2 linked regions of the Lytechinus pictus genome follow. The protein of the gene in region 2 binds, or shares a complex with, the protein of the main gene of each other region. Links are inferred from orthologs where the notes say so. Each region holds a gene or a part of one and is shown on either strand. Other genes may lie near its edges.

Evidence for each region. Proteins that work in one complex are often made in the same cells at the same time.
Region 1: ubiquinone biosynthesis protein COQ4 homolog, mitochondrial-like (region 2) and 5-demethoxyubiquinone hydroxylase, mitochondrial-like share a complex: the UniProt entries of both Caenorhabditis elegans proteins name them as parts of the multi-subunit COQ enzyme complex. The link is inferred for Lytechinus pictus from reciprocal best matches to the Caenorhabditis elegans genes coq-4 and clk-1.

The regions. Positions count from the first base shown.
Region 1 is NC_087254.1:33,609,369-33,617,331, reverse strand, and holds the start of 5-demethoxyubiquinone hydroxylase, mitochondrial-like, read right to left. Parts: upstream 3,035-7,963; 5' UTR 2,984-3,034; intron 1-2,983. UniProt on the Caenorhabditis elegans protein: Catalyzes the hydroxylation of the 5-methoxy-2-methyl-3-(all-trans-polyprenyl)benzoquinone at the C6 position and participates in the biosynthesis of ubiquinone.
Region 2 is NC_087259.1:10,557,945-10,565,488, reverse strand, and holds the start of ubiquinone biosynthesis protein COQ4 homolog, mitochondrial-like, read right to left. Parts: upstream 3,092-7,544; 5' UTR 3,013-3,091; coding exon 2,889-3,012; intron 320-2,888; coding exon 161-319; intron 1-160. Other genes in the region: exosome complex component RRP4-like, read left to right, coding at 5,502-5,614. UniProt on the Caenorhabditis elegans protein: Lyase that catalyzes the C1-decarboxylation of 4-hydroxy-3-methoxy-5-(all-trans-polyprenyl)benzoic acid into 2-methoxy-6-(all-trans-polyprenyl)phenol during ubiquinone biosynthesis.

The DNA of each region.
Region 1 (7,963 bases), on a different chromosome or scaffold from region 2:
GTGTATTGCAGTGTAGATATCATAAGGTTAAATTTGGTTCAATTCTGGATGCAGGAACCTCTGTTCCTCTACGTCTAGCTCACTGTGACGTCTAAAGAATTGGCGCGGTCCGGGGGAGGAACCTTATAATCAAATTTAAATTATGCATTACGCCACCAAAAGTAAATCCTCTTTTCAAATTGTAATACATCCTTAGACTCCAATACAAGCTCGGGAAGACTATTCCATAAGTTACAGATTCTCAATGTAAAAAAAGTTCTTATGTGTATTCTTGTTTAATAGCTTTCATCTTGAAAAGCATGTGCACATGACCCATTGTACTGGTAAAAGAATTAAGTTGCAGACATGGGGTAACATCAGGGTCATATTTGTGGAGAATGTCTCTATCATGTCACTCCTAGCTGGTCTATAAACAAGAGTAGGTCATCTCTGCACATTCTCAAGTGCATCAATATGTTTTACTTTGTATGGATTCCACACAGCATGGCCATACTCTAGATGAAGCCGAACCACAGCCTTCAAAAGTCTCTTAAACATATCTTCATCCAGAAAAAAAAGACCTCCCTACCAAGCCTGCTAGCCTGTTAGCTTTTGAAACAATTTTCTGTGCGTGATCATCAAATGAAAGTACGCCATCTATTTCTATGTCCAGGTCCTTCATCAAATCAACATGCTCTAGATTACACTTACAGTGGCGGTCTTTGAGTGTAATTACACTCTAATCTACGCCCGGGCCCAGATCAATAGAGTGACCAAGCCAGAACAATAGCAGAACAATTGTTCTAGCTCGAGTGTAATCTCTACCTTTCTTTAAATGATATGATATCAAAATTTATTAAGGTAAAAATTTGAACAAATATCTGTGGATTTTGTACAATGGTGCTTGAAAGTCTGACTACTCTGGCAGCTTTTTTCAACCTTATAGCTTTCATCTTGAAAAGCATGTGCACATGACCCCTTTTCTGGTAAAAGAATTAAGTTGCAGACATGGGGCAACATCAGGGTCATATTTGTGAAGAATATTAAAGGTCTCTATCATGTCACTCCTAGCTCGTCTATAAACAAGAGTAGGCAAATATAGCTTCTTTAGTCTCTCAGGATGAGAGCCCTTTCAAAGATGGGACGCAGCGAGTAGCTTGTCTCTGCACATTCTCAAGTGCATCAAGGTGTTTTACTTTGTATGGATTCCACACAGCATGGCCATACTCTAGAATCTTGATGAGGCCAAACCAAAGCCTTAAAAAGACTCTAAAACATATCTTCATCGATAAAAACAAATGACCTCCTTACCAAGCCTGCTAGCCTGTTAGCTTTTGAAACAATTTTCTGTATATGAGCATCAAATGAAAGTACGCCATCTATTTCTATGCCCATCAAATGAAAGTACGCCATCTATTTCTATGCCCAGGTCCTAAGTTCATCGAATCAACATTTACACTTGAATCTACACTCGGGCCCAGAACAATAGAGTGACCAAGCCAGAACGATAGTAGAACAATGGATTCACTGGACCATTTCCTTTGTTCTAGCTCGAGTGTAATCTCTGGTGCTCAAAGATTGCTGACTGGGTCTGTATATAGGCCTACAACGCTACCTTTCTTTAAATGATACGATATCAAAATTTATATCTATAAAGGTAAAATTTTGAACAAATATCTGTGGATTTTGTACAATGGTGCTTGAAAGTCTGATTTACTCTGGCAGCTTTTTTAAACCTTATTGAGATCCCAATGTCCCCTAGTCTATTAATTAATGATTATCTTAAGACAGTGCATATATATCTGTGTGTGGCTGTGTGGAAGGCTTGTGTTCTCACCTACGCTTAAACCAGTTTAATGTGGCAAAGTGAGAGGTGATTTTCCAAGGACCAAGCTGGTTTGGAAGATCGCCTTCCACTTTCGATACCACTTTGACTCTTTGAGAGTGCGTACACATCCGGCAATAGTACACATTAAATTGGTTTCCACTTAACTTATTTAAAGGTCAAATCAACCCCAGGAAAATGTTGATTTGAATCAACAGAGAAAAATCAGACAAGCATAATGCTGAAAATTTCACCGAAATTGGATGTAAAATAAGAAAGTTATGACATTCTAAAGTTTCCCTTATTTTTCAAAAAATAGTTATACTAGAGCGATGCACAATTTAGTCACATCACATGCAATTGAGAGAGTCGATGATGTCCCTCACTCACTATTTCAATTGGTGAGGGACATCATCGACTCTCTCAAGTCTCATTGCATGAGACTATATTGTTGTAGTAGCGATGTAGTAGCGATGTACCCCTCCCCCAATCTATAATTGTGACGTCACCGGCCATGCTGCGGTGGATTTGACTAGTTATATGGCTGACTGGCAGAACTTGAACTTGGACAACGCTCCTCAGAAGTCATATTTTGCCTGGTGAGTTTGTTGATCCCACCCCTATTTATTTACATAATTCTAATCATCGAGCAGTGGTGTTCATTAACTGACCCCAGCTGCTTTATTGTAAAGAACAAGCATGACAAAAAAGTCAAAAGAAATAGTTCTGTATTTCTTTTGACGTTTTGTCATACTTGTTCTTTTTTGTTTGAATTATACAATATTTCATTTTTTTGCAGATTTGACAATAAGGACCAAGACTGAACCATAAAATGTTAAAGAATGGTAATTCCACATGTTCAGGGAGCCTTTGGTAAGTAGACGATAGACTCTAGTCTAATCACCACCCGCACTGGATTGGTATCAGCGGCCTCGCCACTCATCCGTACGCCGTTTCTAACGGGCTAGCTACTACTGCTACCGGTACCGGTACTGCGAGTGCGAAGACGGAAGGTTTGGCTGCCGGCTGGTACTCGACTCGTCTCGGACAATCGACAATTAATCGGACTTTATGAGGTAATGACTTTCGTCTTAAACCGTGAAAAATATCTACATAATTTTATTTTTCATTTCTTTAAATATGAACAATACAAGAATATAAAAACAAGCAACAACATACCGAATAAATTAGAGTCTCGCCGCTCCCTCGTCCGGTCTTGTAATGATTACAAAATTCTATTATGTAAGATAGACTGTACGCATGCGCAAATTAAGAGGGTATTCCCCTTGCTCAAACTTCAGAGGCGGCAGAAATTAGCCCCCGCCCCCCCCAAAAAAAAGTTTGACCCCGGTTTATTTCCAATTCGTCTAATGCCAATTCGTCCAATTGCCAACTCGTCTACTACCATTTGGTCCATCATCAGTTCGTCTACTCACCACATGGTCTACTTTCATTTAGTCTATAATGCCATTCCGTCTAATAACAATTAGTTGGTCCAATAGCCATTTAGTCCATATACTATTTGGTCTAATTAAACTTAAGTGTTCATTGTGCAAAATGAATGATAAGAAAATGGGTATTAGACCAACTGGTTACGAAATGGTAATAGACGAAATGGTGATTAGACGGAGTGATGATTGGAGCAAATGGTTATTAGACCAAATGGTTGTTAGACGAAATGTTGATGGACGGAATGGCATTAGACTAAATGAAGGTAAACCATGTGGTGAGTGGACGAGTTGGCCGGCATTAGGCGAATTGGCAATGCCCAAATTGCCCCGTATGCCTTTACATGAAAATGAGAAAGGCATCAATTTTTTTTCCAAGTCACCATTCTGTCTTTACCATCCCCCTACCATCCTCATTCCCATTCAAGGGCCCCGTCTTACAAAGAGTTACGAATGATCCAATCAATCGCAACTATGGAGAGCAAGTAAAGTAAATAAAATGCATGTTTGCCCCCCAAAAAATCTAGATATGAATGTATATCCATAAATTAATTGATTTCTTGACAGTTCGGTGTGTTCTCGTTTGTTTACAAAGAACATTTTGCACATTTCCTGTAGAAAAAATGACACTGATGGATTTCCATAGAGTTACGATTGATCGGATCAATCGCAACTATGGACGGCCAGCAACGTCAACAACTATTATGCATGTTTTTTCAAAATATTTTCTAGCTATGATGTATATTCATGCATTCATTGTTTTATTGAAAATTCACTGCGCTTCGTTTTGCATACAAAGGACACTGTGCAAATTCTTCATAGAAAAAATTATGACACTGATGGATTTCCATAGAGTTACGATTGATCGGATCAATCGTAACTCTTTGTAAGACGGGGCCCTGGTGTCCGTCTTACAAAGAGTTGCGATTGATCCGATCAACCTCACCTGTATGGAAATCCATTGATGTCACAATTTTTTCAACAAAATCTTTGCATAATGTCCTTTGAATAACAAAGATAATTAAGCCACTTTCAAGTTTCAAGAAATCAAAGAATGTATGAATTTACGGCATATCAAGAGCAAACATGCATTGTTGATGTTGCTGGCTTTCCATAGTTTTGGTTGATCGGATCAATCGCAACTCTTATATGGGGTCCAGATTTCCAGTATTGTGGAACCAACGTTGAGGCAATCGATGATGCAGAGACCGATACAGTTTTAGGTTTACTGTTCCCTTCATCATAGGAGTCTATTATGAATGGGATATTCTACAGTTTTCATGTTTGTATCTTATGAGTTTATGTTTCGACCCCAACTAAAAAAGAAAGAAAGAAGAGAAATAGGCCCTACGTGATATGTTTTCACCGATTTTATAACGGAATACATTGTATAATGTTTATCACAACAACTTCGAGTCTTATAGGATTCACCTGAAGGCATATTCCTCAATGGTGTCCACTTTTCATGTGGTTTTATTTGCATTATTTTGATGCGCACCCTCATAGCAAGAGGGGGGGGGGGGGTAAAAAGATATTGCCACCGTTCAGATCGGTCGCCAAAGAGGTAAAAGCTCTGACGGATGTGGATGAGTGGGTTATAAAGACTGATATGCGATGCGTGAACCGAATTTTATTCTTATATACACTGAAATTATAAGGACTGTCAAATCATGCTTTAGCGAAGCGCCAGCTGATTTTTTTTTAGATGCCGACCTAAAACATGTAAAAACAGGACGTTTTAAACCCCTATAGAACAAAAAGGGATGCATATCTCAAAAGTAACAGGGACTCTCGAGTGGGATTATTATTCAAATAATGCAAGCGATAAGCGGTGGTTGATTTAAAAATAATAATAATCCGACCTGAGAAAATGGGTCAATATAGGGCTATACGATTATCGTGAATGTGAAGCGCGAGCTGAAAATGTTTGATATAAGCCGACATGAATAATGGCATTTATTTAAACAGGAATTCGTGAAGAAAATGAGGCCCATCTTACAACAGGTTATACGTGACGTAGGCAACTAGTTCGTCCAGCATGTCCAGAGCAAGCGGCATTTCTTTTTTTCGAAAAACAAAATCCAAATTCTAATCCTAAAACTTTCGACAGTCAGAGTTCTGATACGTATGGAAAAGGGAATTCTTTCCCTCGAAGAGATTTCGTTTGTTCATGGTCCATATAGTGTCGAAGAGAAAGTGGCCGTCGTAAAATTTCCCAAAGAATTTCTTTTTATCATCGCTTAAAGAGAACATGAACAAATAGGGTTATATCCTTCCTCACAGCCATGATCAAACACAAGATCTCACAAGTCGTGTTAATTCAATTCAATTGATTTCAACCAATCAGCAAATTTGTTTTGAATCTGCAATATATTTGATAGCATGAATAACATTTGTTTATTCAGATAACATCGATAACTACAATGTTAGAAATCATAATAATTAAATCAATGATGAATCATTAAAAGTATGAATATGACTTCAATTCAAGTCAATTCAATCGTTTTTATTGTCCACTTCCAATACAATTATTTCACAGTTGATATAATAGCATATTACATTTGGAGTATACATACAAGATTAACATAATTACAATAGACAATTATCAAAATAAAATATGAATTGAGAGGGAATGATGACCAACTGAAAAGCATGCAGAGCTTGTACATTAAAGCAATAAAGCAAACTCTTATGTTTTATTGTTTATACTGAAATGTATTTTTGTATTATTTGCCGAATAAGTTATAATAATAATAATGACAATAATGATAATAATAATAATAATAATAATAATGATAATAGTAATAACAAGAATGATAATAGTAATAATAATAACGATAATAATAATGATAATGATGATAATAATAATGATGCTGATAATAATAATAACTCTCAATGCGAATCACAAAGAGATTATCGAATGGCGAGATGTAAACAATCATTACGAGATCCCAAAACTTGTCAGCTGGAGAGTGTTTCACCATTTTTTTTTGTCCGACAAGTTGTCAGATCTTATTACTTCCCTTGATTTGATTGGCTGAGAAGCACTGTTACTATGGTAACTGTCGGGACTCGTCAGTTAAACATCGGTCCTTTCATGAAACGCTCCCCCGATCACTCTGTTCTAAGAAAAAACGATGTAGACATGACGCGATCAAAGCCAAAGCTCTATACTGCATCTCTTCTATCGTAACTATGGATTCTTCAAATTCAATCAAGATGTCCAAACCACAGATCTCGGTTCTCGTCATGTCTACATTCTAAAGAAGAAATGATCAGCTGACAAGATCTCGGATTTCGACATATCTACATTCTGAAGAAGAGATCGAAGATCAGCTGACAAGATCTCAAATCTCGTTGTACCAATTAACATAGGCCTACAGAGATGATGAGATTACAAGATCTCGGATTTCATTACCATTTTGTCATATAACTCATGAATTCATGTTGACATGAGAACCGACCGAGCTCTCATCATGTCTACACTCTGAAGAAGAGAATGATATCAGGTGACAATATCATGGATCTCAGCAGCTTGTCATCTAATCATCTGCTCTTATATCAACTGACAAGTTCTTCTATGTCGTAGTTTTTACATCTTGACATTAAATGATTATCTCTTCTAATAACATGACAAGATCGGAGTTTTGGCTACATAATTTGGATTGGGTTTGTACGTTACTAGAATGTCACATTTTTGAGCAATTTTGGGTCACGGGGGCCACTTACATTGACGTGTGGATACCATGCGCGACCAACAAAAAAAACACGTAAAAAGGATGTCGATAGGGCACGTTACGAACGTATACATAATAAGGGTGTCAAAAATACTAAAATAATGACAAAGGGTATCTATTTCGCTAGGAAAGCTACGTGTTTAGGGTCAAATTTGTGAGGGTAAAAAGACTAAAAAATAAAGGATGTACTTCTTGCCCCAACAGTTAACACTATACGTGCTTAGAGTCCGACTTGCGCGAGGTGGGGCCGTATATGATGTAGGTAAAGGTAAAACCGACGTCCGTGATATATAGAAATTAAAATATCATTGTACTTGTTAAGGGGTTCATTTCAGGGAATACTTGTCAAGGGTATCGTTTTGTTTCCAATACTTGTTAAGGGTAGGGTTTCACACGCCAATACTTTTTAAGGGGTGCATTTTCAGAATATGGAAAATACTTGTTTAGGGTGCTTTCGAGACCCCATGGTTGCGCATGGTATCCACTCGTCAATTAAGTGTCCCCCGGGTTTTGGGTCTAACATGCACTTACAAAATACGTTATTTCGGAACCATGTACCCTCGCGTCGCGAATTCGATCTTAAAAGTTGCGCGAGACTTAAAGATAAACAGTCATGAAACGTCGCGGCGCGATCTTTTCGCGTTACAGATTTATTATTTTGGTAAAGATGTCGAGGGGGAGGCAAGAAACATCTTCATGCAGGGCTGGATAGCGTTAAACGAGCTATCCAGATGTCTAATATCAGGATCTCGATCGTCTTTTCTACATTCTGGACAATTAGAGCTTATCAGCTGAAAATATCTTTCCGTTATGGCAGTTGGCGATATGTTGAAGAGTATGATCAGAACGATTTCAAAGTCTCGCATCTCATCATCTCGTCTTCTACTCATTCGTTCTAATGTATGTTGACATGAGATCCGAGAACTCGCCGCCATTTCTACATTCTTAAGAACTGAGATCTGATCAGCTGGTAT
Region 2 (7,544 bases):
TTAAAGTCACGAGACTAATCTATTCTTTCTTCTCAGTTCACTTTATTGCCAGTCTGATTACTGCTACAATCATTCACATCAATGAAACAGACTCCAAACCGACCAATGATTTGTACTTCTTTTGTCGGTGTGGAGTCGGTTTGAGTGTGGCAGAACTCACCATGTCTGTACGGGTCATATAGAGACATGAACGCAGAGCCTGCCGTCAGTAGCACCTTCTGTAATGGAGTAGTGGGAGTGTGCTGTTCGTACAGTAAACCATCAACGTTTGGATCACTTCTCTGGCCATGGCTGCCACCAAGTGGTGTACCTGGAAAAACTGATAAGGAGAGAAAACAAAAATCCCGACAACTTTTCAACAAATTTTTTTTTTAAAGGTTGTCAAAGAAGAAAGTCCCTGCCAAGAAGTTGACACCCAAGGCGGCAACCAAGATGCCAGTAGCCAAGAAAGTGAAGGTTTTGAACCCAAAGAAACATCTGACAGGAACTACAGTGCTTCTATCTTTGTAATAAGTTACTGGTTATTAGGCCTACTGGTTATACAGCGTTCCTACATATCATATGGTAAAAAATCATTGAAATGTATTTTTTTTCCGAAAATTGGAAATGGTTTTTATTGTACCTTCGATTTATATCAATAGACAAATCATTTCACCCCTGTTCCTAAAAAAACAAAAAATATCACGAAACATTAAGAAAAATTAAATTTATGCATTTTATCTTACATAACATATGGGACAGCTGCTTATATATCACATCACATATCCAAAACTTAAAGGTCAAGTCCACCCTAGAAAAAAGTTGATTTGAAAAATAGAGAAAAATAAAAAAAGTACAATACTGAAAATATCATCAAAATCGGATGTAAAATACGAAAGTTATGACATTTTAAATTTTTGCTTATTTTTCACAAAACAGTTTTATCTATGCACAACTCGGTGATATGCAAATGAATGAGACAATGATGTACCTCACTCACTATAACTATTTCTTTTATTTTTTGTTTGAATTTAATTCTATACAATATTTCAATTTCTACAGATTTGACAATAAGGGCCAACTTGACTGAACCATAAAAGGATTTTTTTTAAATGAAATGTGCATATATGTGCAGGGATGAATGCCACTTTGTTTCATTGGAAAATAATGAGAAAATTAGAATATTTCAGATAATAAAAAATACAAAAGAAATAGTGAGTGGATGACATCATAGGTCATCTCATTTGCATACCGACCATGATATGCATATAACTATTTTGTGAAATTAAGCAAGACTTCAAAATATTAAAGACAATTCCACCCCAACAAAGAATTGATTTGAATAAAAAGAGAAAAATCTAACAAGCGTAACACTGAAAATTTCATCAAAATCTGATGTAAAATACGAAAGTCATGACATTTTAAAGTTTTGCTTAATTTCACAAAAAAGTTATATGCACATCTGGTTGGTATCCAAATGAGGGAACCAATGACATCTGTCACTCACTATTTCTTTTGTATTTTCTTATACGAAATAACAAAAATATTCCTATTTTCTCCTCATTGTCCTGCGAAACAAAGTTTTATTCCTCACTGAACATGGGGAATTACCATTGTTTAACATTTTATTGTTTAGTCAAGTTGGTCCTTATTGTCAAATCTGTAAAAATTGAAATATCGTATAATTCAAACAATAAAAAACAAAAGAAATAGCGAGGGACAACATTGATTCTTTCATTTGCATGTGACTAAATTAATTGTGCAAAATTGTGATGAAATTTCCAGCATTATGATAAATCTGATTTTCCTCTATTGATTTAAAATTTAAATCAACATTTTTTTTTTGAGGTGGACTTTCTTATTTTACATCCGATGATGAAATTTTGCCGATTTGATTTGATTTGCCGAATTTCAATCTCGTCCACTCCTTCGATCGAATGATGAGGTGTGGTGTATTGTGGGTGACCGTCGACGGCTAGTTCTCAAGGTACCCGTGCGCGAGGTTTACCGTGATTAGAGCCGTCGATCGGCAGCGCATCGATAGAACTTGATGAGCGTCACGATACGAACGCGAGCATATTATTATTGGAAAGTGCCATGGAACATGCAGCTAACAAGACAAAATAAAATAAGTTATCAAACACGAATTTATTACCAACATCTGCTCAGATTCGATATAAAAAAAAGCAAATAATACTTAGAATTTACTCATGATATGATATAAGAAGAAAAAAATCAAAAAAATTTGTTCTTACATCATTAGAATCAAGGATATCTTTGCCCGTCCGGCGCGCGTCCGGAATCATGATGTAATTTGTCGCGCATGAAAATAATTGTTTTTCGTGGAGGGGTATGCGGCAAGTGCGATGCAAAGAAAATGGTTGGTAAATATAAAATAATTTTATCATATTCATAATTTTCATAATATTTGGAATAGCAAGTGTGAAAATTTCTTGATTGTATTTCCTCTAGTTGTCATTTTTAAAGCACTGAAATAAAGGTGTCCGGTAATAGGATACACTGCCATACTAGAGTAGACCGACTGAAAAGGGGAACAGCAATAGTTACTCTTTTGCACCTTGCCCTTTGTCTATGTTTTCAGTTTGTTTTGTTTCTGCTTCATTTTTTTTTTTACTTTGTTTCCCTTATCTGCATATCAAATATGAATTCGTATGTTTTAAAGATTCAGAAAATAAAATCATTTTGGATTGGATTGAAATTGATTGAACGTTCACCGGGCCCACGCTTTTGTCCGCAAACGCACCAGCCGAAGGCGAGGCGCTAAGCAATAATTCGGCGCGAGCTTGCCGAGTAAGCTCGCGCTCAGAGAGCGGGCGAGCACAATCGGGGCCGGGGACGCGGCGGGCAGCAGCCGCGGCAGTAGGCCGTTGGCGTTGCGCGTTACTTACCCTTTCGCTGATTTTGATGTAAATTTCGAAAGATACTCCAAGTGCAATTCCTATTTTTCTTCATCCGCGTCGTCCTACTGAACCTATTGAACACAGTAGGTCTATTACAAATTGTCAAGGCCATTTATGTTTTAATAGTATGTGTTTGATGAGTGACATTCATTAAACGGACTCCAGTCTCAGTAAACTCGAAAGGTACCGGTATACAACTAAAGTTATCGATTAATATAGAGCTGTATGTAGCTCATCATTGCGCAATAACGTTTACAAGTCAAGTACTGTATGATACCATGGACCTACTAGCTAGTAGGTCCATGATGATACCAAACTTACCAATCAACCATAGAGATGTATACTAATTACGTTATTAGTATATATCTCTATGCAATCAACAGAGATAATTATATACTAATATCAAGTACCACACAATTAAAAGCAACGGGGGCCGGGAATAAAATAAATCAATTCACTTTTGAAAATAAAGGATAAGATCAAGATGGCTTTATTTCATTTTTCAATAGTAGTAGCAGGCCTACTCATGAGGAGTTTGGATTTAGGGGTCAACTTGAACATATATGCATGCAGCAGCGCTGCCCCTAGTAAATAAAAATAATAATACAAATGCCTTTCTCCAAAATCCTCCAGAAATTTAATTTTAAATGGAAACAAAAGCCTTGCAAAACATTATCGTTTTTTCCAGTTTATATATTGTCATATCTAAAACTTCACTAGGTGATATAATCATGCATAACAGGGGCGGCGATCCTGGGGGTGTGGGGGGCACGTGTACCCCCCCCCCCCCCACTTTTTGAAGCACTGAAAGTGTCCTTTTTACGCACGAAAATGCCCCCTCACGAACGTGTTCTGTGCCCCTTTCACCTGAGGAGGACCCGTTTTAGGTGCAGTGCCCTTTCTCGTATAAGTGCCAATCAATTTTTTAAAGCAAAAATGCACCCCCTTGAACGTGTTCTGTGATCCTTTCACCTTAATAGAAAGACCCGTTTTATGTGCGAGAAAGTGCCCTTGCTTATGTCCCTTGACTATATGGCCCGTTTTATGTGTGAGCAATTAAGTGCCCGGCCCTAGAAATGCCTTCTTGTAAGTGCCCTATCTCGTATCAGTGCCCCATGCACACAAACATGTTCTGTACTGCCCCTTTCACATGAGATGGATTTTAGTTAACGATCGATTGCCCCTTTGAAACAAGAAAACTATTCTAATTTTTGTTTATATGTATATGTTTATATACAAAACTTGTAAGGATAATCCTACGTGCCTTAAGCTATGTGAGTGGCAGTGGCGTAACAGGCGGGGGCAGGGGGCGTATACAGGCCCGGGGACGGAGGGGGGGGGGGGTCTTGGGTCCACACCCAATAGGAAATAAAAGAAATGATATGATACAACGTATTATGAAATGAATGGAAGCAATGAAATGTGTTATTTGCTGAATATAATGGAAAAATCGCAGCTTCTTATAAATTAACGTGATATATCTAGCCCCCTCAAAAATGTTGCCCCATTAGGCTGTAGATGAATCATTTTTATTTGTTTTAAGAGAAAAGAAAAGGTGCCTTTTTCCCCTGTGCCCCCTATAACTTTGCTCCACCACCCCTAGTGCATAAGCAAAGAGATAATTCATTTTTGTTTTCATTCAAGAAGTTAATTCATTCGGTCTTTCATATTTTCGAATAAGTCAATTGAATCAAACTAATAAACAAATAGATTATGAAAGCAAAACAAATAAAAAAAACTTAAAAATGAAGTCAAGCAGTATAGGTGCGACGCCCCTCAAATTTCTCAATTGATGAATAATGGACGTATAGCTAAATAAAACATTAAAGGGGAGAGGGGCCTGGGCTGGGACCGATTTTCTATAAGAGGGGTTCTGCTTCTATATTAAGAAAAAATTGACAAGCAAAAAACAAAACAAGAAACAAAATGACTGTAAAAAAACGCTGTTTAAAATTGAAAGCACTTTGTTTAAGCCCGTCACTCTAACAACCACTGTTTAAACTTTCTAAACAAGTTTTGTTAAAAAGTTTCAACAATTAACTTGTTTTTAGAGTGACTGACAGGCTTAAAGAATTAACGTGGTTTTTTTTGTAAGAATGAAGGTGAATTTGGTCAAACCTATTGTGATTATCGCTTATTATGTGTCAATTTGGTAATAGAAGCCTAATGATATACATTATACCATACCAACTAAATTTACAGAAGTGCTGCAATAATAGTGTAGCACGACTCATATATACTGTTCTCCCCTGTTCTTTGGCCCAAAGAGACTTTGGCAAGCATTAATCAATCAAAATAGGGGGGAAATCCATTTGAAATCTTCACAGCGAGATAAAATTTACTTAAAACCTAACTGAAATTTATGGAATCGCATTGACATTTCTGTTGATTTATTTCACTTATTTTACTTGAGCATGATTGACAATAAATTTGAATAGTTTTGACTTGACATCCACACTTCAGACGAAATGACTCCTATTCGCGATTGAAAGATACCAATTTGCTGCTGTCATATTAAAATTGTCTGCATGTTCAGTTGACTAGCTCAGTTAGTTAGGCCAGTACGTTTGACCTATTTGTGCACGAAAGTTGGGAAGGAAAATGGCAATATCCATCACCGCTCCTCGTGAAAGACGAGTTTGTGATGAATTTACAGAACCTCAACGATTAGTAACACCAGGAGCAACCATTACAGCCGACACAGATTTTATGAGGTGATGAATTAATGGACCAGTAGTAGCGACGGGAACGGCCATGACGGCATTCCCGTGCCCGTGGGTGGCCGCCGCGCTGGGCCATGTGGGGGCATGGCAAAAGTCGAAGTTCCACCGCCGGCGCAGCGGCGGAGTTCAACTTCAAGAGTAGACTAGAGCCTGAATGTGGCGAATACGCGTCGTGGACTTGTCTTGCCTTGGGGAACGGGTGTTTTTGTTTTGTTTTGTTTTTATTCTCTTTTTTTAGCCAAATATTTAAAGCAAGGCAGAAGTTTGGACGTAAGACTTTGTTTCTGAACTCGCATGACCATGTTCAATCTTCAAAATGCTACCCAACATGCCCAATTTTGATAATGATTGTAAATTAGTATTTTTCATTTTTTGTCAAAACAAATTGTGATCCATTATGATTCACCATTGTCATTGATTGGAAGAAAAAAAAATAGCCAAGCCTGTTCAAAGACATAGCAACATAATCAGTGTAATTATGTGTAACTGCACATACCCGGCCCTGAATTTGTCCAACAACAGTTCATTTGAATAAAAAGAATAAACTAGGGACTAGCTTCTAACATAATCTAAGACTAAGTTCAGAAAATAATATGGTTAGGTAGGACAACGAAAAAAACAAAATGGCATTTCTACTAAAAAAGCATTACCTATTAGCATCATTGTCAAAGACATTGCTCAAAACTTACCATAAAATTTCCTACATAGTGAAAAATAAGGCTTAATAGTTAAATGCCCTATAAAATGTGTCTGGAAATGCATTTTGGCCCATCCCCATATTAGTTTAGCCTAGGCTATAAGCTGTGTGGGCTAGTGGCTGAAAATTGGCATTTTTAAGTCTTTATGCTGACCTAGACTGTTTGAGCCTCTGTGAGCTGCCATGGAAACATGTCACATTGATAGATAAACCACTTGGCTACCAGAAAATGTGAAGATGTTGCTACCAACGTTCTCGCCAGTGTAGAACACACGCGTCGCATGCGACACACGTAAATTCCACAAGCTCTATATGCGTCACGTGCAAAACGCGAGCGACACAGGCAAAAAAATAAATTAAAAAAAATTTTAAAAAATCATAAAAAGTGGGGAAAAGTCATCGGAAATAATTGTTGCATCATTCATCATCAATCCTCAAAAGTAAAGGATGTTTCAGAATCATTTCGGCAACAGACAAACTACGATGTTATTATTGATGACCGGAAAATATCCATGCGTAGAAACTGGCGCATTTCCACTTCCAGCCGGCCGGCGAGCCAGCCAGCCAAGCCTGAGCAGCCACACTAGCGTTGCCAGCGCGCCTAGCTGAGCCGGACATGCATGCTACAATGTATGTTAGAACTGAATTGTCCGCGGTGCGACCTGGGTCCGACGTAGCCTTTCATTTTTACATGATACCGTTTTCTGATAGTTTTCAAGAAATTTTTATCATAAAATGAATTGTTCCTCATAATTTTCCCGCTAATTACTTTCTAAGTAATATTCTTAACGTTCATTCTCAATTTCTCATGTCATCTGCTGTCATGTCACAAGTTACTCACAATGAGTGTTGGCTAGCTTGCTGGAAATGGGGCTTAGGGCGACACGTGTGTGCATGAATTTGTCAAAGGAGAAAAACAAGATCCCGGGCGCGGGAGCGAGATGTAAAGTTAATGTTATTTGTTTGACGGCTAATTGCTTGTTTTTAACGTTTATTTTTCATTCTTTCATCTAAAACAGACTATAATTTATTGTATTGTTTTTTACATGTGTGTACAGTTTCTTCTATTGATTAATAATCTAGTGGCGGGGGGGGGGGGGGCATGAGACCGCATGATCGACACATCGATTAGAAATATCTAAAAATAGATTTTTTAGGTATTTCTAATCGATATGTCATGCCAATGTGTATTTGGAAAATCTCTTTTTCATGTTGATATTTGAC